Drosophila melanogaster: one gene and its partners. The protein of the gene in region 1 interacts with the protein of each later gene in a pairwise test. Each region holds a gene or a part of one and is shown on either strand. Other genes may lie near its edges.

The links.
Region 2: the proteins of mmd (region 1) and Ubr1 interact in a two-hybrid assay, tested with the Drosophila melanogaster proteins (one large-scale study listed by BioGRID).
Region 3: the proteins of mmd (region 1) and CG4363 interact in a two-hybrid assay, tested with the Drosophila melanogaster proteins (one large-scale study listed by BioGRID).
Region 4: the proteins of mmd (region 1) and CG13926 interact in a two-hybrid assay, tested with the Drosophila melanogaster proteins (one large-scale study listed by BioGRID).

Annotation. Positions count from the first base shown.
Region 1 is NC_004354.4:15,968,682-15,977,665, reverse strand, and holds the start of mmd (mind-meld), read left to right. Parts: upstream 1-4,598; 5' UTR 4,599-5,461; intron 5,462-8,984. Other genes in the region: CG42766 (uncharacterized protein), read right to left, coding at 220-243, 350-511, 573-683; Or13a (odorant receptor 13a), read right to left, coding at 960-1,034, 1,106-1,294, 1,353-1,460, 1,522-1,621, 2,174-2,605, 2,889-3,241.
Region 2 is NC_004354.4:16,963,028-16,972,044, reverse strand, and holds the start of Ubr1 (Ubr1 ubiquitin ligase), read left to right. Parts: upstream 1-3,365; 5' UTR 3,366-3,535; intron 3,536-4,183; 5' UTR 4,184-4,372; coding exon 4,373-4,550; intron 4,551-8,324; coding exon 8,325-8,342; intron 8,343-8,778; coding exon 8,779-9,017. UniProt on the Drosophila melanogaster protein: E3 ubiquitin-protein ligase which is a component of the N-end rule pathway. Recognizes and binds to proteins bearing specific N-terminal residues that are destabilizing according to the N-end rule, leading to their ubiquitination and subsequent degradation.
Region 3 is NT_033778.4:21,831,904-21,839,230, forward strand, and holds CG4363 (uncharacterized protein), read right to left. Parts: upstream 3,145-7,327; 5' UTR 3,127-3,144; coding exon 2,940-3,126; intron 2,871-2,939; coding exon 2,719-2,870; intron 2,657-2,718; coding exon 2,396-2,656; 3' UTR 2,327-2,395; downstream 1-2,326. Other genes in the region: CG34040 (uncharacterized protein), read right to left, coding at 688-1,191, 1,263-1,604; CG4377 (uncharacterized protein), read right to left, coding at 3,593-3,922, 3,987-4,141, 4,200-4,410; CG4372 (uncharacterized protein), read right to left, coding at 5,702-6,895.
Region 4 is NT_037436.4:1,612,800-1,620,040, reverse strand, and holds CG13926 (uncharacterized protein), read left to right. Parts: upstream 1-1,882; 5' UTR 1,883-1,938; coding exon 1,939-2,334; exon of another isoform or gene 2,335-2,419; coding exon 2,420-2,617; 3' UTR 2,618-2,693; downstream 2,694-7,241. Other genes in the region: CG33230 (uncharacterized protein), read right to left, coding at 1-1,123; ABCB7 (ATP binding cassette subfamily B member 7), read right to left, coding at 1,424-1,540; CG12105 (uncharacterized protein), read left to right, coding at 4,466-7,241; CG33791 (uncharacterized protein), read right to left, coding at 2,740-3,523.

The DNA of each region.
Region 1 (8,984 bases):
GAATTGAGAATGTACGAAGCAGAACAGTGCTTTATTTGCTACATTTCAGGAATAGCTACATGTTAGGGAAAATTTTGAAAAATATATGTCTAACGCCATGGCGTCCATCATTTAAACAAATAGTTGATCAGTCCCTCAAGGAGCCACGGCAGCCAAGTAATACAGCACATCGCAGTCCAAACAATCAGCGCGGGTCGCAGCCCTGTCCCGTTTTGTACGCTATTTTACATGGATTACAGAAAGCTTAGAATGGTCAAAAAAAAAAAAAAAAAAAAATATTTCAATGAGTATGTATAGAATTTTTTGGAACATATTAAATAAATTTTTATGTTTTAAGTGTCCCAATTACCACGGCTACCAAGGTGTAGATCACCTGTGCCAAAAATCTTAACTTTAAAAGGAAATTGTAGAATTGAAGGCGTCTCGCTTGGCGCTCAGTCGGATTCGTGTAATTTCTTGGCCGGCGCATTATCTTCATGGAAACTTCGGCGAAATCTATCAAATACACAATCTGCAAGTTTGGGATAGTGTATTGAGTCCATCACATGCTGCTCCATCCATTTCTCACTCACCTTGTCAAGGATATCGATAGGGAAGTGTGCTTCGCAACTGGATACGAATACCTTTATGTAGGTGCGCATAACGTAGTAGAGCAAACCACAGACCCACTCGACGGAAGGCATGGCGAAATGATGTAAGTTAGTACAAATGAATTTACAAAACTTATAAAAGATCTCGAAAAGATTGTATGAATATTTGTTCCGTACTGACTGAAAGGTACCGAATGAAAAACGAACCAGATTTAGGGCATTAAATCATGGCCAACTAGGAGCGCTGGCTGTGCAAGGAGAGGGATAACCTCTAGGAGCTCCAATCCCAGCTTCAAAATTTGTCAAAGTTTCGAATTTTGAAAATCAGCAGAAAGCAACATAACCTTAAACAGAGCTCCACGTTTTTATTTAATCTAGTTTCTTTTCGTCGTCGAAGTAAACTGACCGCAATAATGTAAAGTAACTTATCGAGGTACTTAGAATCTGAAAGAGATGAGTTTAATTGTGCAATTGATATATATATATATATATATATTTTTTTTTTGTAGACATACGGCCGTAAAACTCTGCAAGGACAACGTTGAGAACTTGAAAGCCGTAATCCTTACAGGCTGTTGACTGCAGAGGATCATAAACCAAATCTGGTTTCGGATTCGCTTGGTTGTTGGCGTGAACGATTGTATCTCAATGCGATCGGATCCTTCCCACTGGCATTCATACAGAATTTGCGCTGTTAAGGTAGACTGTTTATCGGAAATAGTTTATTAATATATTAAAAAAAAAAACAATCTACATTCTTGCCTGTTTTATCAATGCGTCGCCATTCTCGCAAAGAACGTATAATTGTGAAAGGGCCGAGGATATGTAAATTATGAACTTCACATAGTCTCCAATGAACATATTTTTTCCCTTATGAAGTTTAGAAAGAAAAGCTAGTCATTATATTAAAATATTTACTGCCAATGCTTACAGTAACTATTTGAAAGCCAACCATGCAAATAAGTACGGAGGAAATCATTAGATTGGCCAGTAGAATTGGGTTGAAAAAGTCCTCGAGGCGCTTAGCAAAACTATTGGCAAAATCAAAGTAACATGTAATGGAATCATTGTAATAGAGTCGTTGTAATAGAATCATTGTAATAGAATCGTTGTAATAGAATCGTTGTAATAAAATCATTGTAATAAAATCATTGTAATAAAATCGTTGTAATAGAATCATTGAAATGAATCATTGTAATAAAATCGTTGTAATAGAATCATTGTAATAGAATCGTTGTAATAGAATCATTGTAATGAATCATTGTAATAGAATCATTGTAATAAAATCGTTGTAAAAGAATCATTGAAATGAATCATTGTAATAAAATCGTTGTAATAGAATTATTGTAATAAAATCGTTGTAATAGAATTATTGTAATAGAATCATTGTAATAGAATCGTTGTAAAAGAATCATTGTAACAGTATCGTTGTAATAGAATCATTGTAATAGAATCATTGTAATAGTATCGTTGTGATAGAATATTTGTAATATAATCGTTGTAATAGAATCATTGTAATAGAATCATTGTAATAGGATCATTGTAATAGAATCATTGTAATTGAATATTGGCACGATACCAACCTGATAATATTGTTGTGTTTTTCCACAATACGTTTGAGTCGCTCCAGCTGAATGCTCTCGGCCAATTCCGCATTGGAACCCGCAAATAAACCTGCGATTCGTTGGTGTAGCAAATGAAATTGGCCACAAGTGTAGGTTATGAAGAAGCCAAGAATGGTGTCCTCTGCAAACAAGGTGGTGACCACACAGATTCCCGCGTAGGAGGTGAAGATGTAGGTCATCACATATCGGATCCAACTGCTCTGGGCATCGTACGGAAAGATCATCTTGTAGGGAAACGGCTTGTTCTGTGCATCGAAGGCGGGTCCAAAGAAGATCTCCACCAGCGGCAGGACACAATACATTATGATCAGGCACGCTAGCAAGGATGTCATTATGCTGAAGGTAACCATGCGTCTGCGACACTCGGCGGCAACATTGTTTTTGGAAGAACTGGAACCCATCATATATTTATATATGTAAATAAAGATTTTCTTACAAATACAGTTTGAAGATGGGTATAGTTACTCAAAAGTCTATATTATCTCAAAACCACTTTAAGTGTCCAAAAGCATGCTTAGAAAGCAAAGTTTGCTCTTTTGCACACAACAATGTAGCACACTTTTCTGCGCATTTACTCAAGTAAGATTGCAAACCTCTATAGTTTTCAATGCTCTGCAGTTTAATGCGATGATCATTTAACATCGCTTATAATAACCCTAATGAATCGACTCACTTAGGTATCCAAATTTCGTAGGAAAAGTTCTCAATAAGCTGGCGGAATTTCCTCTGATTGAGGCGAAGATGGATGAGTCGGACAAAGTTCAGGACACCCATAAAGGTGGTGCAACAATTTTCCGTGGTGATAATAATGTCCGAAAGGTTGTTCAGCAAAAAGGCCGTCTGATAGCTGATTGTTATGCCCACAGATGCAATGACGTACCACGCCCACACGATGTAGGCGGTGGCCAATAAGGATTGGCTCCTCCATGGCCTCGATGATTCGGTTAATGGCCAAGAACCATTCAGTTTCAGCCAAACGCACTGAATGGGAAAGCTAAGTGCTTTGTAGGGATACGAATAGAACATGACTATCTGATAAATGCCACAGCACTAGGTACATCTTAAGGCATTTCTTTCATTTATAGCTTACCAACTGCGCCCTAAAATTACCACTTTTTTAATCATTTACCCTAATTGCACAGTAAATATTTTAGAAAGCGTTTGCACACAAGGCATATACTTACCACCTCATTAAGTGCCGAATATGAAATTTTGATCAAACGCATTTTCCAAGGAGGTGTGTGCCTGTGAAATCCATTAAACTATACTACTTGTGTGTATTTTAATTTTGCTTTATTTTGAAGAACAAAGTGCGTTTTGCTCTCGAAAAATAAACAGGTAAACAGGTGCACATATTTCAATTTTGTTTTCAATTTAATATATTCAAATTAAAAAGCAAAACTAAAAGTATAAACATGCAACCTGCGCCTGAAATCCGTAACACTTTTAGATATATATATATTTTTTTTTCAATTTCTTATACATATTATTTCATTGTAATTTTCCATGATTTTCCATTTATGTATGTTGGCTAACAATGCGGTCTGTATTTATTTTTAGGCTTTCATTCGCCCAAACTTCATTTCGAAACCAGTTAATTTAAATCAGGTCACTGCTAGCTGGGCGTAAGAAGGATATAGCTTCATTCAATTAGACGACGGGGGCGTGGCCAATCTGTGGCGTGGAACAGTGTGGACCCAGTTCTCTGTCCATTGTTCTGGCCAAGATCTCGACGGCCAGATAGACAGGCAGCCAGACAGAGATACAGAGAGACAGACAGACACGGCTAGATGGAAACGTATGTAGAGGCGTAGGTGTATACTACACTTCCTTTTACAATTACGCACCTTTGCACGAATACAATATACCCTTTTGCTCCACATAACGGACATAAACAGACGTACCCGGATTGTAAGACTCGTTGGGGCCAAGGAGTGGATTTTTTTTTTACCGACTTTCGGCGAGAGAGCCAGCGGCTGAGTGCCGAACACCAACCAACATCCATCCGAGGACCAAAAGGATGTGGCCCACACAGCCCGAGAGAGCCAAGATGCTGAATTGTGACGTGACAATAGAAGCGGAGAGCGAGAGATGTGGCCACTCGGCTGGGCTTGGTTTGAGATATATTGGTATGGGATGGGATGGCCGGGATTGGGAATCTCCCAGTTGAGATTCCGGTGCTCTGCGACTGCGTCGTATTTGGCTGACTGAAGAATGGCTGGTCGACTGGGTTGGCTGCCTGGTTTGCCTCCGGTTGGAGGCAATCGTTTTTCGCCTGGCCAAAATCCTGCAGACGTGTTCGAGAGCTTTAGAACGTTGTTTGCAATTGCGGAAAGCGGTTAGCGAGGCACGAGACACGGCGATAGTTTTTAATAGAAGAAGCAGCAGCAGCAATAAAAAAATAAAATAAATTAATACAAAAAACACAAAAAACATACAAAAACCAAAAAAAAAAAAAAACAAACAAACAAACAAAACGAAATACGAAAGCAGCAGAAAAGAGTGCAGATGCAGGAAATAGCCGTATAGTTCGCAGCCAGCGGAGCAATAGTTTATTGAGGAATAATCCCCGAGTCGGCGCCCAAAAAGATCCAACAAATACCCCAGAAACACAACTGAACAACCAGCCCAGGCAAAAGTATATACATATATATATATATATATATATATATTAACAAAGAAATTCGTTTTCAAATCCCAACACACCGTGAACTTAGAATATATATATATACATACGCGTATATATATATGTATATATATATATATATGGAAAAAAGTAAAAGAAAAGAGGAAAAACGAAATGCCGAACGGGTGGGCAAAATGTGAAAACCCAACAAATAACTACTCAGAATCAAATGTTTGATATAGTAACGTAACGAAACGCAACGCAACGCAGCTCTAAAATCGGCTACTAAATCAGCACATTCAAATCAAATATGGAAAATACAAAAATAGAATAAATATATATATATGTCTATATATGTGCACATATATGCGTGTATATGTATATGCTGATGGCGTAAGGATGAAAAGATCATAAAATACATATTTTATGAAAATTTTTTGCATATTTTTTTTACTGTTTGGCCAAAATAACAAACTGAGTGTGTTCATAAAGCAGTACAATGTAAACTTAAAAGCAAACTTAAACGCAAAACGGATAACAAATAATTCATAACTACTCTCCAACTACTGTTTCAATGGATTCTGGTTTTGATTTTTTTCGAATTTCCCGAATTTCCATTGGTGAGTACCGCAATTACGTTTATGTATTTTATATCTATCAAAAATCGCTACACATCCCATGCATATATATATATATATATAGTATATTTCGGTATATGTACATGGCCTCAAGGATTCCAAACTCTGGCAGATGGAACTGAAATAGTTTGGCTAGCTGGATAGTTGGATTGCTTTATGGCCGTAATTATACGGGGGAGGGGAAAATGTATACTTGGTCCAAAACACACACCACATGCCCAACATACTTACTATTATTGCGAATATGGTCCAACTCCCGACTCTCGAGCGGAAATGAGGCGCGGCTGACTGCGCATGACCAATGAATAATAGCGATACAGAAATGCTTTTATCCCACACTTTGTATTCCAATGCATATCTGGATATCCTCTCTCCATCTCGACGTCTCACCGTCTCTCCATCTCGTCATCCCTTCTCTGTCCATGCCGCTCCATTGGCATGCGAAGGAATTTGGAATTTTTTTTTTTTTTTTTTTTTTGGCAAAAGGACTCTGGCAATTCGAAGTGTGTCAGGACATCATCGCCTTTTTCAGCGTCGCTTGCAATGGTGCGCTCCTCCACCAACGCCAACTGAAGACACATTTGTTCACAATTATTTGGGGGTCTGGGCATGCGTTGCCATTGACCCATCTAACCACCCGCAGTTGTGCACGGCAATTCAAATCTCAACGTGCCCCAGTGCTTTCGATTGTTTTTAAACAATTAAATCCACCGCATAATCCCATGCCAGCCAAACGAAACACGTAACCGGATTTGAGATGATGGCAAAGTGATTCCAGGATGATTCCCCCTGCTGAGTCCTTGAGTTTGTGAGTTCTCGTTTAATGGTTGGTTAACTCGTGAGAAATCTGCGCTGGCAGTAAAGTAAACAAGCAGCGGGCAATTTGTTTATCAATCAAAGAAATGGTGTCGGAATTCCGCATTCGCGAGTGTGACAACGCCCAAATGTTTGCTGATCCATAAAGGAGAAGAGCTCCGCGATTAGATCGCCCTACCTACCACCACGCATCCTTCGAAGCTCGAACTTCCCTATCGTTTGGTAGCACATTGACTCCAGATGGACTTATTGGGGGCACAAATCAAAACGCGGCAAAACAATGGGGCAAAGACACAGATTAGGTCAAATAACAATGCTGCTATACACACGAAGAAAAAGGAATGAACTTGTGAGGGAAACTAAAGATGAATGGTTTGAATACAATACAGTTTTCTTTGCATACATTTAACGGACTGAAAAAAATCTTTTAAAACTGGTTATGCTAGGGAAAACATTATTTTTTCATATCCTGTTAACAAACATTTGGTATTTGATTAGTTTCCGGAATCCTTGAATTTTTCTTCGAGTGGCAAACTTATGGCTCTGCACCAGATTAGAAGCCATGACCTACGATTTGATATAATCAATCAAGGCTTGACTTGTTGCCTGTTCAATAAATAGTCAGGATATTCAGAATTCACAACAGTTGAAATCATTTACAAAACGCGGCTTTGTATGAGTAAATCTTTTCTGCGTGTGTAAAACTACAAAATGCTGCCCAATGCTAGTGAGTCAGATACTGCCAAAAAAACTTGTCGGTATCATGGAGTGAGCCAACTTTTTGAGAAACATAATAATGAAAGTTTTGTCAAAACGAATAAATTGGGAAACACTATACGATGGAGCTTCAGCTTTCCGTGCTGTTGTTACTCCATTTGATCGGGAATAGTTTTAATCAAGTTTTAATTGGCAAAGTTGCACAATGAGTGCAATCATTAGTCAGCAGACAAAAAATTGTGTGGCTGGCAAGAGGAATAACTCATTTTATTGGCCCACAGATCCACATCCGCACACATGTCTGCAGTTCCCATCTTTGGAATGCCGTCTAGTCGGAGGCTGCGCATTCGGTCTTTGGAGAGCCAGCCAGCCAGCCAGTCAGCCAGCCAGCCGACGACCACGACTCTCGCGTCCTTAATTTTCATCCCTTTATTTATTTATTTTCCTGTCAGCTGCCGCTGTCTGGTGTGTCTGCCCAAGGTTTCTGTTTCGCATTCTGTTTCTGAATTTGAATCTGAATCTGAGACTGAATCTGAGACTGAATCTGAGACTGATTCTGAGTCCGTTTCGGCCGTGGACGCCCACGACAGCGAGGGAAATATGTGGCCATCCGGAGAATAGATTAACAGGATACACCAGTAGTTAGGGACCTCAGCTCATCTACTCATCTTCATCTTCATCGCCCCTTCATCATCATCATGGGGGCTCATCTCATCTTGGGGCTTTAAATTATGCGACTTGAGTTGTGTTTGTTGGTAAGATGTTGTCATATGTATGCGACCAGCCACTTGGCCTGGAGAAGTACTCATCAAGGTGCCCAAAAGTATGCCACAATGTATTTAAAATGTGCATTCTCAACTCTTCAAGTTCCTTATGCTTGGGAATTGCTTGGGTGGTGTGTTTCTGAAAAATGGTCCATATATTTGTAATATATCATCAGAGTTATTAAAGCACACGAAGAACTGTCTAAAAGTATGCTACAATTGTGCGCAATTATTATACTATACTATGTCTGTTGGTTTAAACTTAACTTATGAAGGTTTCTAAAACTTCTAAAAGTATAAATAGTTAAGTTAAAATATTTATATGTAAAGCATACCATTTTTTCTGCTACAAATATAAATTACCATGTTTATACAATACTTGCATATATTATTTATGCCATATTAGCTTAGCACTTTTGACCGGTTTTTAAACGAATGACATAAAATCATTTGCACTAATAATGTCATTGGCTGGTGAATAAACTTTGTTTGGATACAGCTTTCTATTGGTCGAAGTTGCTTGTTTATTACATTTTTAAAAGTATATAATTGGATTTAGCTGAAATTTCTTAGATAATTCAAACACTCTCGCTTGCCATACGCAAATTGTGATATGCATTCATCTTTTTAATGCAATTAAATGTTATGACAAAACTTTGAAAATAAGTTACTTCTCAGTTGTTGTTTTATAAATTGAAACCATTCTCGTTGTTATCCTTTTCGTTAGTCCTTTTACTCCTTGTAATTTTCCATGTGGGCCACTGTCGCCTCCTTTTGCGGCAATAAATTTACTCACTGCCTTTTCGCCGAAATGACCCAAATTTCAGGATGCCCTCCATATAAGGGAAAATTCAATAAATTATTGCTAAGCCTTTGGAAATTGTGCAGAACCTGTTGATTCTGCAGCCGCCGCAACTAAGCGCTTAATTAAATTTTAGTCGGAATTTTCACGTATATGTATACGCATTTGATATTTTGGAAACAGGCAAAGTCAAAAAAAAAAAAAAAAACTTATCATATATAATATTATTGCCAATAAGATACTATTTATATTACGTTTTATTGAAGTCGAGCACAATTTCAATATCCCTGGATTGCATAAGCTTATGTTTGAAACAAGTAATTTGAAACTGATTGCTTGCTGGGGCAAAAGAGAAATCACAGTAATTGCAGTAAAAGCAAACATTTAATTTGCACGAACGAACACT
Region 2 (9,017 bases), 1.0 Mb from region 1:
CGCTGATTGCTGACGAAAGTGAAAATGAGGATAACGTATCCAATTGCAGGTCTTCTCAAAGTTAAACCTAATTAATTTAATTTTGATAAATTTTCACGTGTAAACTTAGGTTCCGCAAATTTGTAACGAATGTGAAAACGAGGAAAGGTCATTTAGTGTGAAAGTGTGGATTCTCCAAAGGCATTAATGGGTACAATTTATTGGCAAAGTAGGCTAGATTTTGATTTGGGAGAAAATGTTTTGGCACTTTTGAAATTTATTGTAATCCAAATGGCATTGATTTCATTTTAAAATGTTTATTATTAGGGAAATGATTTGTCATTTTTATAATACGAGCTAGGATCAAAATATTTTGTATAGATATAAATTATTAACATTATTATTATGCTTATAATATTATTTAGTTTAGGTGGAACATTTAATGAAATAGTTTTTTTTTTAAAAGCTCGAACTTGTAGATCGTGTTTTTTCCCTAGAATAAACTCGAAAAACTTAATTCAGACACGAGCCATTAAATGTGGAGAACTAGTCACCAAAGTCGGGCAACTCGACTATATATGTTTCTGTATATTTCGGTTTATATGATTTCGCCGGCGAGAATCGAGTGTGAATGCGAATCGAGAAAACAGAGTAATTAGAAACAAAACCAAAGCAAGGTGATTCATTTATGCGACTGATTATTAACATATGTGTATTAAATAATTAACCAAACTGACGGAGCGAGAGGGGTGACGATGGTGTAACATGCCGGCGAGATGTCGATGTCCTTGACGTAAGGATACAAATGTAGGGGATTTACATTTACCTAATTGCTAATGGCGCATGGCGAATGCAGCGCGATATGTGTGTGTCATGGTGCATGTAATTCGTTTAGACCTCATTGTTGTTTCTTTACGTGTTCGTTTCGATGTGTATAAACATATAGTTATAATTGACTGAACGTTATTTTTTTTGTATATATTAACGATTAAATTTTAAATGAGATGTGAAAGCGAAATTGAGCGCGCTAATCGAATTCGAAACTTATTGAAACAATTGCACAAATCAGTCCAAATGAAAGATGGTGGAAATATCTTTTAAATAGCCAACAAGTGTTTGTGAGTAGTCATGAAAAATTTGGAGAGGAGAATTGAAAGCTTAATGCCCCATTGAATGTTTGTGATAGTCGAGAGTAGGCGACTATAAAATACCCTGTACTCCATTGATACTCATCCCGATCCCGATCGTGATCGCGAATGCGATTCTTCTCTCCCGACTTTCGGTGTGCAAAAGCTTTAATCTTCATATTCATTCGACGTTCAATGCTGTGGATACAGGGTATTTCCAGCTGTCTAGCATCCAAAACAGATCTAATTTTTAATCTAAATATATATATGGAGAGTGGATGGAGCGTAGATTGTGCCACACTAAAGACAAGTCCCAGGCTTGCAAAGCCCCCTATGTATATCGATCGCATTGGATCAGGACACATATGTTTTATACATATGTATATATGTACATATGTGGGGGGAATTGGTGTGCTTTAGCGAGAACTAAACCAAGAAAAAAAAACAAGTGGCGAAACAATTTTTTTTAGATTTTTTTACCATTAACATTAAACGGAAGGAGGAAGTTGCGAATTCCATATTTGAAATGGAATTTACTTGTCAAAAGCCTAGGTGTTAAATGTTGCGTCAATAAGCGAAATCGAAATTGAAATTGAAATTTTATTGTAGTGGGACCGACGAGAGGCCCCCGACTTCCGGAATCCAACTAAAACTAAGAAATCCAAATAAAACAATATAGTCAAGCTTTAAATGTTGTACACGATGGGGGGTCGCAGCCACTTGAAACCCAAGTTAACTAAACCAAATGAAGAGAATGCCCAAAAACAGACCCGAGAATAAATATGAATGTTAAACTTAACTAAACGATAAATGCATATTTATAAATGTTTAAAACAACAATTCTATAATAAACTAAAGGAAAACTATATATGTAATTGTGCTAAGGCAGAATTTAATGTATTCCAAGCTACCAAAGCGACAAAAAGCCATTAACTACGTGGAACCAAATAATGTAAACGCAAAGCTAACAACAAATACAAACTGCAACATACAACTCATTTCCCTAAAGTACAAAGGAAACGATGGAAAACCCACATATTCCGGCATGCTCCGGTAATCAAATTCGTACAAATTTAACTATTTTGAAAAATCTGTGCTCCGGTTTTCGAAATCGTAAGAAAGTTTTCGATTTGTAAAACGGACACTTTTGTCTATCCGAAATGAAAAGTAAATGCCTTTTTTTTTTAGCAAATCAGATCTTATTTTCAAAAGGGCAAATAATAGTTTACTCAGTGGTCTATTGATGTTTATTTCACATCACCACAAGATCATTTTGCCACTTAGTTATTTTATAAAAATTTTATTTCTGACCACACCTCAACATTGGTCAAACAGAATTTTGCCTTCGGCAACAAAAAGTTTCGATTTGGCAAGGAGTTATAGGTACATCGACAAGTGTTTTTGGGAAGAATTCCATATTGTTGGTGAAACGAAACAGGCAGATACAATATCAAAGAATTCAATAACTTATCTAGAGGATGGCCAAAAGTGTTGTTTGTAAATAATGCTATTTACAAAACCGGAGCACCTAATAACGAAATCGAAAGATTTTTCCCAAATCGAAATCGAAACAAAATTACGACTACCGGAGCATGCCTGATTATTTAGTTGAGCACAGAAACCACACCATCTAACACAAAAAAGACCAAAACTGGACAGTATTGAACGAAGTGATTTGGTTTCAAAACAACATCTCAGCATAAAGTATTCAAAGCCGAAATCGAACCGAATCCAAATAGATATAGCGAAAAAACGAACAAAACTATGTATTTCCAACAAACAGACACAAGTATACCAACAAAGCGATCCAAAGCAACTAAAAAACCAAAAAAGCGAAACAATAAAGACATTTTTGTGTGTATGTAAGATTAAATAGAAAAATCTGGTTTTGATATTTTGTTGTTTTTTGCATTCGGGGCTTTTAAATTAATCTGGGTCTTTAATTGATTGTATCCCTTTTAGATATATTTGGTTTTTTTCACTACAACATTTACCTAAAATGTACTATTGCTTATTGCAATTAGTGTCTAAACGTAAATACAGCGTGTACATTAGGCAAACAATTTGAAATCATCTTTAGTTTTATTTTGACAAATGGAAAACAATTTCAATTACCATATACATAACTGAATGGCGGAAAATGGATTTCTTATCGATAGCGATTGATGAGCAACTTCGTAGTGTGCACTCACTATTACCGCTCGCATGCTATCGATGTTAGCACGACCAGATATCGACGTACCGTATTGCCCGATAGACGCAGACATAAAACGCCTGCTTATATCGATGACAGTCTTGTTTTTTTGCGTTTAGGTTACGAAATTGGCAGACGAATCTTCGTTGTGCCAGTTGAAATAAGTAGATTTAACTAACAACACAGGTCTAAATTGCTCGTGAATACACCACGAGCCAAACAAAAAAAGAAATAGGTACGTGCAAAAGTTTGGGAAAATAAGAAAACGAAAGCGAAACGCAGTAGAGTGAATTTAAGTTGGTGTGCGTGTTCGTGTGTGTGATTGTCAGAAAGTGAAAAATAAAGAAAAAGAGAAGCTATTTTTTTAAGGTGCTAAGCGCACGTAAAGGCAACCAAAAGGAAAATTGTAGATAATAAACGATTATTATAAAAATATAATAAAACCAAAAATAGTGCCCGTGGCCGTGCATGTGTGTGCGTGTGTTTGAAGTTACTGTTTCTCGCGTTTTGCCATGCGCTCCGTCTCTCTTTTTTTTTTGCTTTTGCTTGCTGTCAAAAATGAAATAAAAAAAATCACAACTGGCTGATACAAAGGAAAAAGTGCAAAGCAACAGCTGCACACTAAGTGTTTCCTCGCCATTCGTACACAAATTTTTCCTCGATTGAATTGTCAGCTTTTGTAAATTTCGACACTGTTGTAAAAATATAATTTCTTTATTAACAAGTAAGTGTCTGTGCTCCAAAACAAGAATCGAAAATTCTTCTACGACATGAGAGCGAGAGCGCAATCGAACATTTTTGTTGTCCCGCATCCTAACCTAATCCCGTTTTTTTTGCTTTTCGCAAAAAACACATGTGACAACCAATGCAACAACAACATCAGCAACAACAACTACTGTCGCAGGAATAGCAAGGACACACGGACGATAGAGAAAGGAAGAAAGATAGAGAGCGAGACGTCCCCATCGCACACACGAACATACACAGCCCCGCTGCAATTATTTTGTTTTTCTCATCCTCACCAGGAAAGAGAAAAAGAGAGGAGACAGTGCGAGTGCAAGCGAGAGCAACGATGGATCGCTACGACATGGAGGACGTCGTTGTGGCGCCCCCTGCCGAGTGCAGTTCGCCGCTCAAGGAGTGGCGCCTCAAGCGCCAGGCGGGCACACTAGACCGCTCCGATATCATCGAGTTCTTAAAGCGCGAGTCTCCCAAGTATTTTGATTACCAGACTAGCGCTACAGTTAAAGGTGAGTCGAGATGCACAGTCATCGCATAGTCATAGTCACAATCCTTGATCGTAGGAATCTGCGGGAAGGGCTAAAAGATCTAATAACTAGTTTTATTGCGCTCGGGAAACAGCTAGTTTCTGGTATGACCCCATACATCAGAACTCAAAATTACGCAGGCAGACCCTGTATAGAGATATTAATGATACATATATAGGCATTGATCAATCCAATAGAAAAGAGTGCAATCGGATTGTTTTCAATTCCAAGAAAGGTTAATTTCAAAAAAAAAGTTTTCAAATAGGATACACCACTTTTTCGATTAAAAATAATGGTAAACAAATAATGGTAACTACCACAATGCCAAATCGATGGGGCGTCAAAAGTTGGCCGAATCCCATTAAAAACTCTCGCTCTTGAATTATCATTATTCGCCGTGTGTTTTAGTACTATTTTTGTTCTGCTTTCGTCTTTTGTTTATTGCCATTGAGCAATTGCACGCTTTTGTTGACTTTGTTGCTGTTCTCACGTTTCGTCTATTTCACATTTCCGCGAATTTGTTTTTCCTCGGCGCCGTGCCTTGCTGCGCCAAGTTTTCCTTTCAATTGGCCAGCCAAGTTTCAAGTTTGCCAGCTCGAAAATCGCCACCTTCTCGGTTTTCTACCTGTCTCGCCTTTTATGCACTCTCATCGTACACTGTGAGAAATCTTCTGATTGAATTAACACAAAAATTAATTCAGGCTCTTTTTCAAATGGGCAATCGAATGTTTCAATTCCTATCAGAGAAGATAGAAGATCTCTAAATACTAGCATAAGCAAATATTTTCATATTCAAGTTCAAAATGAATGACATTTTTTGTGGCAATTTTAAATTACCTGCACTCATTTTGGCCCAGTGTTTGCAAGTTGATCCAACAATGGCTCAAGCCCGGCCTGGCAACAAATGAATTAAGTAAACAAACTCGTTTTGCACCTAATTCCACCAGAAGTGAACATTATCCGAAGCTGGAGGGGCAAATGTGCGACTATTGAAACAAACAAATTGGGAGAATCTAGATTCCTAGGAAAGCACTTGAAGCCTCTCAAATTTGTCGACGACTTTCTGTTAATAAAATATTGATTTAATAGGAAATTGAGAAATAAAACGAGAGGAGTTGCAATTTTCCACGCGAGAAACTATTTGTTTGTATGCCAAGGATGGAAATATACAATACAAAAATATATTGATATTATGACCAATTTGTAAAACAAATAGTAGGTAATGGAAATCATTTCCAGTGTAGCTCCTTCAAGAACCCTCCTCATTTCCCGGCTTCATTGAGTAATCCGTTCTTGTCATAGCGAATATTTTTGCCAATTACTCAAACAATGTTTGCTTTCCGCTTTTGCTAATCGGGTTTTTACCCCATCTCATGGCTCTTATCGTTCCTTATCAGCTGCTAAGCATATGGAGGGCATGGGTACCAATGTTGTTATGTTTCCATGGGCATATACCATACCATACCATACCCCCTGTACATACATATATCCGTTCCGCTGATATTTGCCTGCTGTCTAATTGTACGTAGACTACTATACTCGAATCCCGATGCACAATGACGAATGCCACAGATACAGATGAGGTGGACAGCCGGATTTCGCAGAGAACGGAGACGAATCGCATCGCCAGACTTCGCTGCTTGCCGGACTGATAAGCCAGAGAGTTAAATATTAAATATACAGAAATATGTATTTGGAGGCAGTTTATTCAACCTGCGTTTATCTGGTCCAGGTGCACATCCGCGGAGGTCTTCTCGACCGCCTGACGTGTCCAGTTTTTGTCGATTTTCAGCGTTTATACATATCTCTGGCTGGTTCGCCTTATAGAGGCTATTCTGGTCTCAAAGTGCGAAGACATTTGCCTCGTGTCGTGTGTCTCAATAGAAATGATTCAAACTTGGGAAACTCATGTATTATTACACAAAATTTTTGTACAAATCGCTTGCACATTCTGCGAATTTAGTCTTTCTTTCTTATCTTTGTTGGATATCCACCTCATTCTAGGCGCACACAGATGTCTTGTTTCTTTTTCCGCTTTCGCTCTCGTTTCATTGTGCAAAAGGAGCAAACAGCTGACACATTTTTGGGCATAAATATATATAATATTTTACAAAAGGTGTGGGTGTGGTTGTCCGTATTTATCAAGATTTATATGCCCTCGATCGCCCACCACCTACCCTTGCAGAAATCAGAAATGCTCTTTGTAACGATCGTGTTGCCGCATTTGAGCCTTTAAATTTTGTTTCCTCTTTTCATCGAGAAATTTTCAGTACAACAGTGGGTGCCATAATTAATTTCCATGCTAAGGGCGAATGACCAAGATTTATTGGTTCGAAAAATATGCACAATTCATTGGAAGCTGTAATTACGTATGATGTTTGCAGTCAAGTTTAATATCGTTTAAATTATGCATATATTTTCGATTCAGTCACCTTTTGATGACGTCTTGTTGAGAGTTTAATTGAGTACTTTTGCTAAAAACTTTAGGAAACATTGTATTTACTTTTGTAATTATTGTTTAAAAAGTGATCTTTATATCATATTGTTACACACATTTGATCTCTTTTTGTGATCGTGCCTGTAGAATTGAGTGTACCGCTCCTGAATAATCCACTGTGATTCAGGAACCGATGAGGTGGCCTCTTCTCTGGCGTTCTTCCTCCTGGCATAGTATAGAGGCATTTCTGTATAGTGCATTTCAGTTCAGTTCAGTTCGATTCGATTTCGATTTCTTTCTTTTATTTTCCGCTCCAGGCGCCTTCTTTGTTCCAGTCTATTACGCCTCAGTAAACTGACGCACACGCAGTTTTAAATGCATTTTTATATAGGCAGCCATGTTACCTGGAGATATAGCAAAATGCAGCGTGAAGATTATTTAAAGGAACTTTAAAGTGTACAGGAGGTACTCTGCTAGTTACTTTCAATTTGTCTTTATTGTATGTGCATTGCAGGCAGTAGATATGTATGTACATATGCATACAAATATTTCATTTTTCACTGATAGCCCTACGTTAGATGCGTTGATAATAGATTATATTGTAAGCTTATCGCTCTCTTTTTAGTATTGTATTTTTTTTTTCGATTCTGCGCTGCAGAGTTTTCACATCGTTTGTGGCGACCTTGAACTGCATTTGTTGTAAATTGCTGGCTTTTGTATTTGTATTTGCATTTGAATTTGAATTTGATTTTGATTTTATTTGGTTTCTCTGGTTGCGAAAACTCGTTTAGCCCGAAGGTTTCTCTTGTCTGCGACTGTGGTTCTCTTTTGCGGTCGCCCAGGCCCAATAATATAGCCGCGATCATGATCATTATCACGTTCATTATCCACATGCGGTGTGGTCCGACCTGTTCTAATCATTTTAACGATACTCCATCGCTATTGCATTACTCACGGCATTGAAAAGCAATAAAGCCAGAAGATGACAGTTTGCTAACCCATGAGTCAGCATGTTTATTTATAACCAGTAATTCTAATGTCTTCGAGCCGTCTTTAATCGCATTTAACTAAAAGATTGTGGGCCAACTGAAAAACAGTTTTTTTAGCCAATCAGCAAAGTTATAATTTTCTAAAAGTATCGGACAATATTTTTAAATATATATATTTGTTTTCAAACATAAATTTAGACTTTAATTACTCAACTAGATAAATAAGGATAATAAGACAAGGTCCATGCACTTTATGAAACCTGTTTATAGTCCTTGATGCAATTAAGATTCTAATATGTTACTAACTTTAACAAATTAATTTCCTTTCAGATACCAATGTGATTACTCGTGAGTACAGCACAATTGTTAAGTTCCAGAAATGACTTGCCAACGTTAGGTGAACACCTACCTAAGCCACGGTTAAACTAGAGTCCTGATTGAACAGCCACCACAGACACCTATCCACACAAGGTCGCTCTAATCGTAACCCTTCATCCTCCCCCACTCATTCCCCATTCATCAATCAAATCCAATCCAATCCAATACTATTTCAACTGTGTGGGCTATCTTGGGACAAACTGTTCGGAGTGTGGGTGTAATCACCACGAGCATTGTTGGAGCCAAGGGCCTACGAACACGGAGAACCTGCGCATTGAGCCAGAGATCAAGAGGCTGTTTTGCGGATCTAGAACCCCAGCTAGGCTCTTACTATACTCCGCATTGCGCAACTCATTGAGCTCACTTTGATTCGATTAAGACTAATGAAGCGTGTAATCTCTTCCAGTAAAGTGCATGTTTAAGGAGTCGCTGGCCAAGGAGGAGATCATCGATGTCGTTGTGGAGTTTATGCTGGGCGACAATCCTTCCTCCGCACTGGAGAAGCTCCGACTGGAGGGCAACACGGCCACCGTCTGTGGCAAGGTCTTTAAGAACGGGGAGCCCACCTACAGCTGCCGCGAGTGCGGCGTCGATCCCACCTGCGTGCTTTGCGTCAACTGTTTCAAGCGCTCGGCGCATCGCTTT
Region 3 (7,327 bases), on another chromosome or scaffold:
TTATTGTCAAATCATGTCGCTTATTTCACCGTTGTAAATCAAATAGTTTTGGGAAACCCCAGATATAGGTAAAGGCTATTTCTAAGAATTTAATCTAATAACGTTATTGCTTATTATTATTGCTCCCTATTGGACTTTAGGCATTCCATTTTATAATGTCACGAAGTCACCTTAAAGTGAGAAGTTACACACAAATAAATGTTCAAAATGATTCACACGTAAAAAAAGAATGAGAAACAGACTCGTAACTTATGAGTCATGAGTTAATTAAATTTATTAATTGATGATAGATTTGGCTATCGGAATAACCCAATTTGTTAGTTATCTCGTAAGCTTTTTATATTTCAACACCAAAACATAATCTCAGCCAGGTAAAAATAGAAAATAAATAAGTTACTTTAGATTTATAGTAGATCCTATTTAAAGATAACCCAATTCGAATCTGTGAAACGTTTGTGTAAGTAGGCTGACTTGTGGCTTAGTGGTATTTCGCCACATAATCGGGGCTTATCAACATTTAATCAATGACATAATATGTCATAAAAGTCTTAAGACATAAAACCCAAAAAGATTGTGTTTGATCGCAAAAAATAATTTATGGTCACGTCATAAAAATTACTTTAATAATGTCGCACATAGAGTAGAGAAGTCCGTGGGAATTATGGTTAAGCGCCGTCACTTTGCCCATTAAAGTGGCTTATAAAAGCACAAAGCCAATTGGGCAAAGATCAGCAATACGGAAGCGTGCAAACCGAATGCCGAATTGGGTTTATCGGTTGTGGTTGGAACCTCTTCGGTTGTCGAAGGTTCTGTGGTGGATTGTGTAGTTTCTGGTGAATTTGTTGTTGAACTTGTTGTTGAACTTTCTGGTGAACTTGATGATGATTCAGTTGTCATTGTTGAACTAGGCGTGGACTCCGTTGAAGAACTTGTAGATTCCGTCGGTTCCTGAGTGGTGGTTGGTGAATCATCTGCCCTTACAATTTGATCATTGCAGTGTGGTTGTTCCAAAGGATCGCACAAGTGGCAATTTGGATCAGCCAGGCATTTGACTTGATCTGAAAGAGTCAGGGAGCACCCCCTTTTCAAATCGTCTCCAACCAAACTGGCATAGCAAAAACTTCTGCCAGATCTAGCAATAGGACATTGTACAGCCGTTAGTAGCCCGGGAGATTCAGCACACTGTGCGTCCTGAAGAAGAAGAGTATAGAAAAAAAAATTAAGACTTTTTCTCCATTTTATAGTTACTAACTATTAGTTACCTCTGTATTGTTGCACTGAATACAGCTAGTCCTTTTGGCTGCGACGTTGTTGCATCTTTCGGTTACACATATCTCGCAATCGATTTCATTTCCTTTATCTTTATCCTCGCATTTTTCTCGCCAATCATCTTCGAGACTTTCCAGACATCCTTGGGCCTGAATTACGCCTGCCTTAAAAACACTAACGCAGGCATCCAACTTCTCTGAGCATTGTTCATCCGCATCATAGCTGCTCCTTTGGCAGTTTATATCCCGACAATAAATGCACTTTTCTGATGCCAAAACGTAGCTGCTGGTCAACACAAGTGCGACCAAGAGTTTAGAACAATTGAAGTTTGACATTGCGGAAGGAATATTTAGCATTGAAAGGCTCCCATTTGTTGGTCATCCCTTTATATAAATTCTGGTCTCTCAAGATGATGTTACTGATATTTTTTCCTAGATAGTTGACTGAAGTAATTAAGCTCGTTAAGTTGTTGTCCATCACTTCAAAAATTGCGTAAGCAATTCAGTTGTTTTTATGTGGCTCCTTCAAGTACGGGAATTCTTGTGGGGTAGTTTTAAAGTACATAGTTCCTTGGTCATAAGTAAACAAACAAGCTTACACTGGTAATGGAATTTTTTTTGCCATTAATCGGTTATTTTCCTAGATTAGACAACGAATTAGATCAAATTTCTTTCAGATAATTTGAAGTGAACCTTTTCAAGGTTGTTGTCATAGATTAACATCAGTGCTATCAATTAAGGTTTTGTGATTCATCATAGACTTGTCATCTTAATATATGTATACAAAAGTTATCATACCAATTTAACAAGCCAACTTATTTAAGACTTTCTTTCTAACAGATTTATTTGAAAACAAATGTATGCCAATTATTTTTGTTCATTAAATATAATCGCCCTAGTTTTATACTCTTTTGTTTGGCAAATATAACTGCATACATTAATTTGTTACGATTTATTATACTATTTAATATGAAATGCAGAATTTCCGACAATATATCTATTCTATCTATCCATTTCGCTTTTGAGAACAAAATAAAATCACTTTTAGTTCAATTTTTAGTTGTATATAATTTATAATCGCATTTTATTTATTTCTTGACCCATATACAAATATTTCATTATAAATATTATCTCAGGAATCGAATGAAGCGGTTCCCTAAATTTGAGCTCTCGACGATGTTGGCAGCATTGCAGTTCCTTATGTCGCCAGGTGAGCACAACAGGCAGTTGGCATCGTTCAGACAGCTCTGCTGATCGGTTTCGGTGGTGGAGCATCCACGCACAATGGATCCTCCCGAGGATTTCACATAGCAATACGAGTTTGGAGCCGTGGGGGCACTGCAACGGGCTGCTTCCAAAGCGGCGGCATTAGAAGCGCAATTGGAATCCTTGTGGGGAATTGAAATGTTAGAATTAAAATTGGTTTTCTATTTTAAAACTTTTTGCTTACCTTGCTGGAATCGCACTGAATGCACGCGTACTTCGCAGATCCCACATTGTTGCATTCTTTCGTGTTGCACTTGTGGCAAGAGCGATTGTCATTGCATTTGGAACGCAAGTCCTTCGGAATCTCGAGGGAGCAACCCTTGAACAAAACCTTGGCTGAAATATATAAAAACAGTGTTGTTTTTTTATTTGATACAAGAAATTATTTCCTCTCTTTGAACACACCTTCATCGTAGATGGTCACACAATAGTCCAGGGAATCCACACATGTCTGCGTTTTACTCAGTTGAACCCTTTGGCAATTAGCTCCTTCACAAGTGTGGCAACTGATTGCCGTGTTAGCGGCCACATGACCCACCATAACCACCAGCACCACAGCACTCAAAATCTTCGCCATTGTTTGGGCCTTCATTTTTTTGCTTCGACTGTCAGGCAATTGGCCATTGCGATCGGCTTTTATACCGCCGACCACTTCAAATGCCCCACTGAAGTGTCCTCGAGAGCGGTTGCTGTCAGTATGTGTGTTTGTGCGTGGAAATGGCCAAGCACTTGAACGGTTTCTATAAAGAACTGACAGCAGTCACATATATACAACTCCCGAATGGTATGGAGTTATCTCAGAAATATCAAATTAACTTTTTAGTGGATGTATAAATTTAGCAGCCATTGTATTATGCGGCCTTTTTGAAGTGACCTCTAAAAAAAAACTGTCTGTCAAAGAATTCCGTTGTGATTGAACTGTGGTAGTAATTCAGGGACCACCTGCTAGTTAATTGACGGAAAAAAATTGAACAATCCAAAAAGCCGATAAGATAGAAAAACAAAACATTCAGTAAGCAAGTGATTATTCGCTTTATTTACATATATTTATTTAAAATTTAATTCAGCAATTTAAGCGAGAGCAGGGCAAAGAAAGCCAACCCGTAGCTCAAGAGTTTTTTACTTTGCTCAGCTGAGGACTTGGGTCCCAATTCCAAATCGTAGTTGTTGCAGGCCACGGAGTCGCTGGAGTTTTCCGGCAGGCAGAGCGAGCATTTCGAGTCCTCCAAGCAGGCCTTCTGCTCCTTAACAGAAAGAGCACATCCTCTCTGGAGGCTGTCCTTCTGATCGCCGACTACCTTGACATAACAGTAGGAATTGGCGGAGGTGGGGAGGGCACATTGGGTGGCGGCCAAGGAGGCGGTGGCACCCTTGTTGCAATCAGCTGACTGGCCAGAAAATATAAGAAATATATGTATTACGTTTGCAACTTTGTCAAATTGGCTTACTTACATCAGAACCAATGCATTGAATGCATTTGAAATCCCTGCGTCCTACATTATTGCACAGCTGTCCACTGCACTTTTGACATTGATCGTCCTTGGCCGCACATTTCGCTTGACCAGCCAAAGAGATTTGAGAAAAGCAACCGCGCTCACTAACAGCAACTAAAACGGAAATTTTGTTGCATTTAAAAATGCAATATCCTTCGAAGCTTAGACTTACAATCCTCATAAATGGTGACGCAAACGTCCAGTCTATCAGAACAGCTAACGGTGGCGTTTTGACGAGTGGTTCTCGAACAATTTATGCCTTCACAGCTGTAACATTTTGGCGATTCAGCTGAATTGCGCACCTCCCTAGAAATTTCTCCTGAGATTTCCCGTGAAGCCAGGAATAAAGCCAGTAGTATAACAAATTTGCCCGATTGCAACATTTTTGAAGAGCTTCCAACACCGTTGAACGACCAAAACGAACTAAAACTAAGCTGCAGCTAATTTGAAAAAATCGAAAAATTCACAATTGTTTTGCGGCACTTGAGAAAATTCACATTAATCAGTCAGCAGACTGATAAAGATATTACAATGCAGTACTTGTTGTGCTAAGCAATTTCAAGATGTTTTCCTATAGATTAGTAGTAGTAGTATATCACCTCATATACGATTTGTTTGCTCGGCCATTCAAAAATCTTATCTGCCTTATGTCGGACAAATAAGTGAAATGTAAAATAAAGTGTTTAAATTTTATTGCATTGACTCACGCGGGGGATTCTATTCTTTTAATTAGCAATTATTTATTAGCATTAATTCTGATTTGTGTTTGTATTATTTTGCTTGCTTCTTATCGAAAACTTTTATGAATTCTTAAAAAAGTCTTCAAATGGCCCATCGCCGGTCAATTTCTTATTTATGCGACCTACGGTTATCTAGAACTTATCGGTTCGGATCGGTGTGAGTTATGACAGTAAATTTTTATGACACACAAGCTTATAATCTTAGTTGGCAAAAGAGATACGACCGACATTTCTGCCTTTAATTGAATGGTATCATTTGACTTTGACTTCCTCAGCTCAATTTTTGTTTATGGCCTAATAATTCTAGTAGTTATAATGAAGTTAAATCTAGCAATTAAACTTAATAATACTGATGCCTTAAATAGTCGAGTTTTTCCATACAACTTTAATGCTGAGGTCAAACTTTGTTGGCCAGGCAAATTAAAGCACAGCTGTACTTATTTGCATACACTTATAACAGATTTTCCCTTACAACCAACACGAGGGGATTACGTTACATAATCCAAAGAACAGAGAGGGCGGGAAAGCCCCGAAATGGAAAATGAAACGAAAATAATACAAACATAACAAAGAAATATGCAAAGCAGATGAATTGGGGATAAAAATGCGTGAGGGAAAATAAAAATGTAGCAAAACGAGAAAACTGAAAGCGTTAAGGAAAAATTGAGGGCTTACCGGGTCGAGTAAAAAGTTTTTAGCCATGGTAATAGGAAAACCCGAAAGATAGAAAGAAGAAAATGAGAATAGGTCAATATTTTCAGAAGTAAGAGAGTCATCCGAAAAGTAAATGGAAAAGAAAAATATTACAATTTGTGGGCAAATCATATCTTATAGCTAATGTCCTTTTAAGCAACTGCTTAGTAAGTAGAACTGTTTAAGGATATTGCGGTAAAGGTTGTACTGTAAGTATAGAAATTACTAAGTAGGTCTACCCTCATGGAACCTTATGTTTTTCGGGAATGGTGGGAAACAGTCCTTTGGGGCCACCATCTATGACTTCATTCTCCCGCTCCAAGCACTTGACCCGCTCCACCCGCGCCATGCTGAGGTATTCCTTGCCCCCACTGACCACAAAATGGAACTCGTCGAGTCCTGCACAGGCGGCGGCATAGATGCCACGTCGATTGACCACCACCACGGCTCCATTGAATTCCGTATTGTGCCTCAGCAGGCGTTGCACCACCAACTCGGCTGCCTTGTCTGGTTCCTTTCCCGCTCGCATTGCTTCGACGGCCAGGAAGGCGGGCAGGTGGCGCATCAGGACATCACCATCGCCACTGGCCACCGCACCGCCCACTTCATTATCCGCATAAATCCCAGCACCAGGCACCGCCGAATCACCCACTCGACCGGGAATCCGGAATTGGGCGCCACTCGATTGGCTGGCCACATGGAATTTACCCTCCGCATCCAGGGCCAAGAAGGCCAGCTGATCGTGTTGACCCTGTATGATGGCATATTCCTGGTGCATCGGATGCTGATGCATGTGCTCGGGTAGGGGTGAATATGGCCCACAGTTTTCCGCCGGCGAAGGATGTACATCTCGCCAGAAATTCGGCTGACAGCCGTTTGACCTCCACTTTTTCAAGACATTTCTCGTTCTCGCATCCGTGAGGTACTCCTCTTTGTAACCCAAAGATCTGGCAAATTTCGTTGCACTTTTCCCGACCAGTACGGAATGTTTTGTGTATTTCAGAACTGCATCGGCTACTAGAATGGCATTCCGAACTCCATTCATCCCGGCCACTGCACCGTACTCCAAGCTTTCCCCATCCATAATGGCAGCCTCCAGGGTGAGTGCTCCCTCCGTATCTGGAGAGGATCTTCCGGTCAGCAGGCGTCCACATCGCTGATTCTGGCAGGCCATGCATCCCTGAATCACCGCCTGACGAGTCCTTCGAGGTCCTTGTTGCAACACACTCCATGCCTGCAAATTGGCATCCGTATAGTTCCACGTACTTATCAAGAGTGATTGAATCTCTGTCTTCTTGGTGCCGAACAATTTGATCCTTCTCTCTCGCAATTTTCGATTCGTGAAGTATTTGAGGGATTTTTTCGGTACGCTGCCGATTGTTGTGAACAGAAGGAGGAGGATCAGCAGTCGAAGGCAACAGCTTTGCGCCAACATACTCCAAGCAGAACTCAATCATGACTGAATGCCTGAACACATGTTACCCTAAAAAACTGACTACTAGTCAGTGGAAGATATGACTCAAAGCACTTTCACTGTCTCAAAGGTCTTAACCATAACTTAACGCTAGCAGCTGAATATTATTAAGCCTGAAAACTTCTTAGATCTTAAAACTGTTGTTCGGAAAAAAAGGTGACAACCTGTACCATGGATATTTACACAAAAACAGACCTTTATTTCCACAGTTTAGGCTTTAATGTACCACACAAAAAATAAATATTTAAAAGATGCAGGATTCGGCTGAGGAGTACATTTGAGCTGGCTCCATATTTAATTTATTCGAACCAATATATGGAACCACAAATTGCAAATCACAACAAAAGACATTTACAGAAAGGCAGTCGTAAAATCTATGAATTAGCAAAGAGA
Region 4 (7,241 bases), on another chromosome or scaffold:
TGTTGGGAAAGTAGGCCTGCTGCTTGAAGATCAGGTGCAGCACAACCCTTAGATTGTGAGAGCATCCATCGTCGATGTGCACGAACATTTGATCGTTCAGATTGTGCTCCCTGATGAATTTAAAGATGTTCCGGTGAAAGGTTTGCGTTGATAGCTCCTTGTTTTGCTTAATCATGTGCTCAATGTCCAGTAGGGAGACTTCAAAGTAATCGTGCTTATTTTCTCTTAGCCAAAAGCCATATTCCGTCAATAGCTTAAAGTTGGGCAAAGCACCGTAGCTGATGAACAATTGATCATATGGTTTGGTCTCGGAAAATGGCAGAGATTTCAATGTAAGAACGTAATCGGGACCCTCAATCCCTGCTGTGATTTCCACTTGATCTGAGTGGTTAAAAAGATCCAGAAACGGAGCCAATGCCAGGTTGGTGTCGCCACTGATAAGCGGCTGAAAGTAGTTGCTCTGCTTTTTCAGAAAGCGGGAACTGAGGTGGACGCTCCTAGTGTTCACGCTGAAGTAGGCCCACTTAAAGTCTGCGAGTGTCCAAATCTCCTGGCCGTAGCTCTTCCCACAGCAATCGCATTTGTGTACAATGTTCTTAATAATTTCAAAGTAACCTCTTATCTGACGGTTCTGGGCCACGGTCCGCTCTAGCAGGGATTCTGGCAGACACTGTAGCTCGGGTATGGAGCAGAAATACGGAGTGGAGTAGCACCTGGGCAGGGTGTCCAAATATGCAGCGTAAGTAGAGGAGTGAGTCCCTAGCGTACACTCCTGCAAGTGCTTGTGGTACAAAATATAACAGGCTATCAGTGCCTGAAAGGAAATTCTGGAGTCCTTGTCAAATAACTCTTCGTCGAAAAGACTTTTGAATGGCCCATCAGATTCCAGAGTCGCTATGCTTATGAGACAGCCAATGGGCAGGCGAATGAGCTCATCCTCCGGAGAAAAGGTCTTCTGTTTAGAGCATAGTCCTCGACCTGTCTGTTCGTAGTATTGGGCCGACAAGTGAGTGTGGTTCTGCCAGCCAACGGAGTGTAGATGAACGTAGAGGTCGTGCAGGGAGCCCGAATTCTCGTCAGACTTCTTGGCCCTCTGATGCCGGCGACGCTGCGTGCGACCCATTGTCCCCAATACCCGATCGATCCTCCAAGTCTGTGTGCGTGCGCGCTGTTTTGGTCTAACTCTATGCTTGCTGCAACGAAATAAGCCATAGCGTGGAGCATTAATTCAAGATTGATCGGATGGAAGTGGAGAAGGACCAAAACAACGCACACGCAGACTGTTTTCCCCGCCGATCGCCGGCTGTCCCCACTCAATCAAACCGCCAATTTATTGCGTATTTACGCGTAATTACGAAACCGTAATCTAGTCTAGATAGTCTGGCAGGTGGCCTTGAAATGGGTCTAGAGGCCGAGCACTCACCACTCTTGCCTGCACGTGTGTTCCCGGTCCCTTAGCGAGTGTGTAGCATTTCGCGCGTCCCAAGTGGGCGGGTAGGTGGATGCTGCACTGCTTGGTCAGGTGAAGGAGTCCGGCCATTACTCAATTGCCAGGCGAAAACAAAATAAAATCCCTCTTCTTTCGCACCGTCCCTGTGTTTTTGCTACGATATCAGCATTCGCATGGCAGCGTCAGCTGTTTGGAGTTGCCGTATCGCTGTGAATGGCAAGCCAAGTAGCAGTCGCCTGAACTAGTTCCATTTAAAATTTAAAAAAAAATCTTTTTTTAGGATTTTGGAATATGCATCAACTGTCAGAACATATGCAAGCAACAAATTCCAATATACTTCAATATATTTTTTTGTTAGAAACGTAGTGGGCTGTACACCATTAGGAAAGAAAGCATCGATAAGGTAGTTCCTTTTTGCTCATCTCCATAACATCTCCTCCCCCAACAAAGCGGGCATATCGAATTCTGGAATAGTCCACCGCTCGAAAATGTCGCTATTCGGTCTGATAGTCTCCGGACGCCTGCCCCAATCGGATTTTGTGGCCGTGGACGCCACCAAGTTGCTCGTGAATGTGCCCGACATAGAATCCGTCAACTACCTGGTAGTATTCCTCACCGGCGTATCACCCCTGCCCGTCGGCACCTCCGCTGCGATATATTTCAGCTGGCCGGACGCGAACGCAGCACCCACATGGCAGTATCTGGGTCACATAAACAACACCAAGCCCTCCGCCATCTTCAAAATCGCCCAGCTGAAGAAGAGTCACGAGCTGGAGGCCCAGGCTCACGGGATGGTCTTCGGCAGCCAGGAGATCTCACACATCGCACAGATTGGAGTTTCCCTCGAACCGGAGCTAACGGTGGCCCAACAGACGCCAGCCGTGGTAAGTTCTGAAGATCAGTAGTTGCCAACCGATTTGATTGGCGCAATAATTGCGATTCAAATCTAACCCCATTTCCAATTTTCAGTCCACTGCCAACGACAACAAGCAATTTGGTCAGCGAATGCTGGAGAACTTCTTCAACTACGCCTCCAGCTTCGGAGTGGCAGCCAGAGACATCCCGCCCATCTCGAGCGAGACCTTTGTGCCCTTCTCCGTCGTTCAAAATTGGTATACGAATTTCCAGCGTCGCATGGAACAGAATCCAAACTTTTGGAAGTACTGAGCAAAAGACAATGGAGGCGTCGCCTCCACAAGTTGTTGATATTACAAGTAAAGTTTTATATTTATATTCTTTCTGTAACTATTACCTATCTTTATTGGTGGACTTACAAAGGAGGATTCAAACTAGGGCTGTGGTTTTGTTGGGTCCAGTTCCGACTCCCCGGGAGTGCTTTGGGTTTCATTTCTACTGCCGTAATCTTTAGCAGGTCTGCGCTTTATGAATTCTGTATTGGAGGGCGCAGTCCGGAATGGTCCACGAGAAGTTGGCGTCGGAGCTGGAGCCGACCCTGATTTCTTTTTGCTTAAGGATTCTTGTCTTGTAGAAGGAGATATGCCGTCGTGAGAGGGTGAAGGTGACTTTCTAGACGGACTGCGGGAGGCCGATGCCCTGGGAACTACACTCGGTGCTGGAGCAGAGCCCGATCTCTTCCAAGCTGACGGTGATGCGCCATCATATGCAGAAGCATCTGGTTCCCTATTTCGAGCAGCTGAATCTTCATCAACCAGATTAGGAGCTGGAGCCGAGCCGGACCGCTGCTTTCCACCCCTTGGAGGTCTACTTGGCAGACTGATCAGTGGCTTACGGGGTGCTGGACCTGTAGGAGCTATAGACGCAGATGGAGACGAATCGGATCTCTTTTTTCCTCCAGATTCGCCCTTACCTGGTGGCGGCGACGAACCGCCCTTTGGTGGAGCGGCTGGTGGCTTAGTACTGGGTTTCGATTGCGCATCCGCCTTGGCCTTTGCCTGCTGCTTCTTGATCCGATCCTCGATTCGCTTCTTGTTCTCCGGCGTCAGCTCTCCGAAGATGCTTGTGATCAGGGCCTTGTACTCGTTGTAGTGCTGCACCTTGTTGCCCGTCGCTGGCGAGGCGCTGGGCGGTCGTCCGTGATAGGACACGCAGCGCCTGCGAGGAAGAAACAGAATGGGATTAGAATTGCTGAATGGACACCCAGTATTACCCCACGTCACCCAAATAGCGCCGTGCTCTGTGGTCTATTTAAACAATAGCATTGTCGGTGGGCGACGCGAGCTGATTTTTATTCGGTCTCTTTGCCTGTCGTTCTTTTTTTTTTTGTGGCCCGCAAAAAACCAATTTGGCAAGCTGACATATATATTTCGGCTATATAGCAGACCCTATCCGATGTGCATATACAAGAGCGCTCCTCGGTCTGCCCAGCATCCGAAACACGCGCGACCTCCCCTGACCAAACTTTGATTTCTATTGTTTTACAAGATCTATCAACATTGATATGCCCTGTAGTTAATTCATCCATGTGGTCCATGAGTCTACATAGGAATCATGTCCAGTTATTTCAGTTGGCTTAGATAAGTCGAGCAGATTAGTATTATCTACATTTTGCTGAGTGGAGGGAATTTTTTAATAAACGAATAGCACATATTTTAACACTGAGAAGATAATAAAATTATGTTTACGTTAGCTGAGAGAACATTATTATAAATTATAAATACTAAACACTTTCTTGAACAACAAATAGCTGGCTTGTTTTTATCTTATAGCACCAAGTGATTTGAACAGTTTTATTTTGGTGAATTGAAAACAACCACTATAAGTACCCATCTGCAGGGCATTGTTAATTCGATCCTTATGCTCACCTGACGCCGCACAACTCATGTGCAATTACATAGATTGCAGACTGATCAATGATCGGATGGTTGCCAGCGAGGCGCAGCCACTGGGAACGAATTGAGATAGACGGATCACGGTGCATCCGCCGACGGATTGCGCCAGTTTAGCTTGCAACGTGTTGAGTGATACATAGTCGATTGTGATCGGAGGAATAAGCCCGCTTTGGTCGCGTGTTGGCCACGACAATAGGTCAGCAGGATGATGACAAAGACACAGCAGGCGGATTGGCCGGCAGAATCGGGGGAAGCAGAGGAGCAGACATTGATGTCGCAGGCAGCAGCTAATAATAATATTCATAATTCGCAGTGGCTTGTTGATGGCATCGCAAATCAGGGAGCTGAGTCAGCCGTGTTTTGTTGGTCAAAGGCGGCGGCGCCGGAAGTGCTCGGAATGGCAGGGCAATTTCCGGTTGGCCAAGGAATCGCTTGGCAGAGCAGCTTTCCCATGAATCACGCGGGTGGAAGCAGGAACATGCAGGTCTGCCAGACATATTACCAAACAATGCAAACAGGAAAGTTTCCCTTGCATCTGAAATCAAGGAGCAACCAAGGATTTCCCTTGTTTTTCTTCAAGCACCAGAAAGAAGCAGAGAACCACACAATTTTAGATGAAACTCAACTATTCAGCCCACATCATGTATACGCACCGTGCACAGCAAGATTCCCCATACATCAAGTATACGCCCCGTGGCAGATGAACTTTCCCAGACTGCTGCAATTGCCCCGCAAGAATTCCGACGGCCATTTCCCAGAAATGAGCACCACCATGACCCGACGCGGACAGGTGGCCAGCTCACACGCTGAGCAGGCGTCCCAGGAATTTCCCATAATTAAAAAACGATTTGTTAGCTTTCCCAATTATCGAGCAATGTCTGAAGATGAGCCCGAATACCCACATCCACATCCACCCACCGCCGCCACAACAACAATGACGCAGCCGGGCCTCGACAAAGTCACCGAAATAGACAAAATAGACGAAATAGATGTAGGCGGAGGAGGAGCTGGTGTACATAAGGTGCCGCCGATGTTTGATAATGAACCCGAGGCCGAGGAGCAGACGGCGGCGGCAGAAGCACTCTCATTCGCATTAAACTTGAACGTGGCAAGGGAAATCGAGCATCAACAGGCGGAAAATCTTAATGACGCCTTCGGCCAGCGGCGACACGACCACAAAAACGACGACGCCATGGATGGGGCCAAAAATAAACGCGAAATATGCGAGCAAAGCAAATTAGAGAAGGCCGAAGATCATAATGAGCCAAATATGAGAGATCGCGAGCAGCAGTCAATATGTTTGGCCAGGGAGCAGACAATAGATGCGAATGGGCAACAGCATCAGCAGCAGCAGCAGCACCAAAATCAGAATCTGAATCGGAATACCAACCACCAGCAGTACGGCGATCTCTCAGACGCCCGCGAATCGTCGCCAGAGCAAGTGGACGTGGATCTCGGTCGGCTACTGACCCGCGAGCGAAACCCAAATCCGAATCCGAATCCAAATCCGAACGCGAATCGAAGTCGGCCAAATATAGAATTACTGAAAAGCTCCGTGCGCGCCTTCCTCACCGAGAGGAACTGGGATTGGGACTGGGAGCTGCTCGACCTTTTGACCGACGCCATCGAAGTGATCTGTGCCCATCCGGAGACGGGTAACCTTTGGAGCGAGGTGGCCGCCGGAGCGGACATGACCGTGAGCAAAGTCAGCGAGGAGCGGGAGACAGATACGGTGGTCGAGGTTTACCCCGCCGAGCAACTACTGGATCAGCCGACGGAACAGGCGGATGACAACAACAATACTAGCGCCACAGAGCAGCAGCCCAGCGAGATGAAATACGAGCTGAAGACACCCAGTCCATCACTGCCCAGCAGGAGTCCGCGTCCGGAGTCGCCAGTCACTAGATTGGGTGCCACGAGTCGTAGTATACGCAATGTGGAGCCTAGTGCTCCCGCTACGCATGCTCCGTTGCTGGGCGATATAAAGCGCACATCCATCAGCCGCGACAGCACCTCCTCCATCGATGTGGATTCTGTGCTACCCGAAAGGACACGTCTGCGGCGCCAGCGACGCGTCCGCTCGCAGGACTCCGTGGAGGAGAAGCCCGAGGATGTGATCGAGCGGCTGAACAAGCTCAAGGCAAGAATCTCCGGTGCACTCAGCGAGGTGAAGGGAGTGCTCAAGCAGTACAGCACGGAGAGCGAGGCGGAATCTGCGGCGGAGCAGACCCAGTCGACACCAGTTGGAGATCAAGCTGCTCCAGTGTCCTTTCGATTTGTGAAGAAAGTCCGGCGACGCAGCTACTTCGATGAGGCCGAGGAGGAAAAGGAGCAAGCTGGAGAGGAACTGGTAAATGCCTCCAAGGATACTAAGGTGCAAAGAGAACAGACACCATTTGCTAGGGAGCTCTTGGAAGATTCAGCAGAACGGGATGCTCAAACAAATGGAAAGCAGAAACTTAATGCAAGCAAAGAAACAAAAACTAGTGAAAAGGATTTTAAAGAGGTAATCGAAGTCAGTAAAAAAGAAGAAAAGAATGATAATCAAGAATCGAAAGAGTTGGAAAACCAAGATGGAAAGCTGCCAAAGGACCAAGATTATTTGGATGTCAAGCCGCCAATGGAAAGTAAGGAATATTCTGAGCCACTGGCGGTGAAGCTTGGAGAGGATGTTTCAAAATCGCCTTCTAATGAATCTAGTGATACTAAAATCTCAGAGGTAAAAGGTGAAGAACCAAAAATGAATGGAGAACTTCCGAAGACAGGCGAACAAGTCAAGCAACCCGAGAAAAGCAAAACCCAGGCCAAAATAGAGTTCCTGGCCAAGGTGCAGAGTGAACTCAAGTCAAAATCCGTCAAAGATGTTACTCCCAAGGAGCAAACTACCAAGGAAGAAACCCATAAGGGGTTCTCTCCCAAAAGAGAAGCGACTCCCAAGGAATCGGAACCCAAAGGAACTACAGAAGTTGACAAAAGTAATG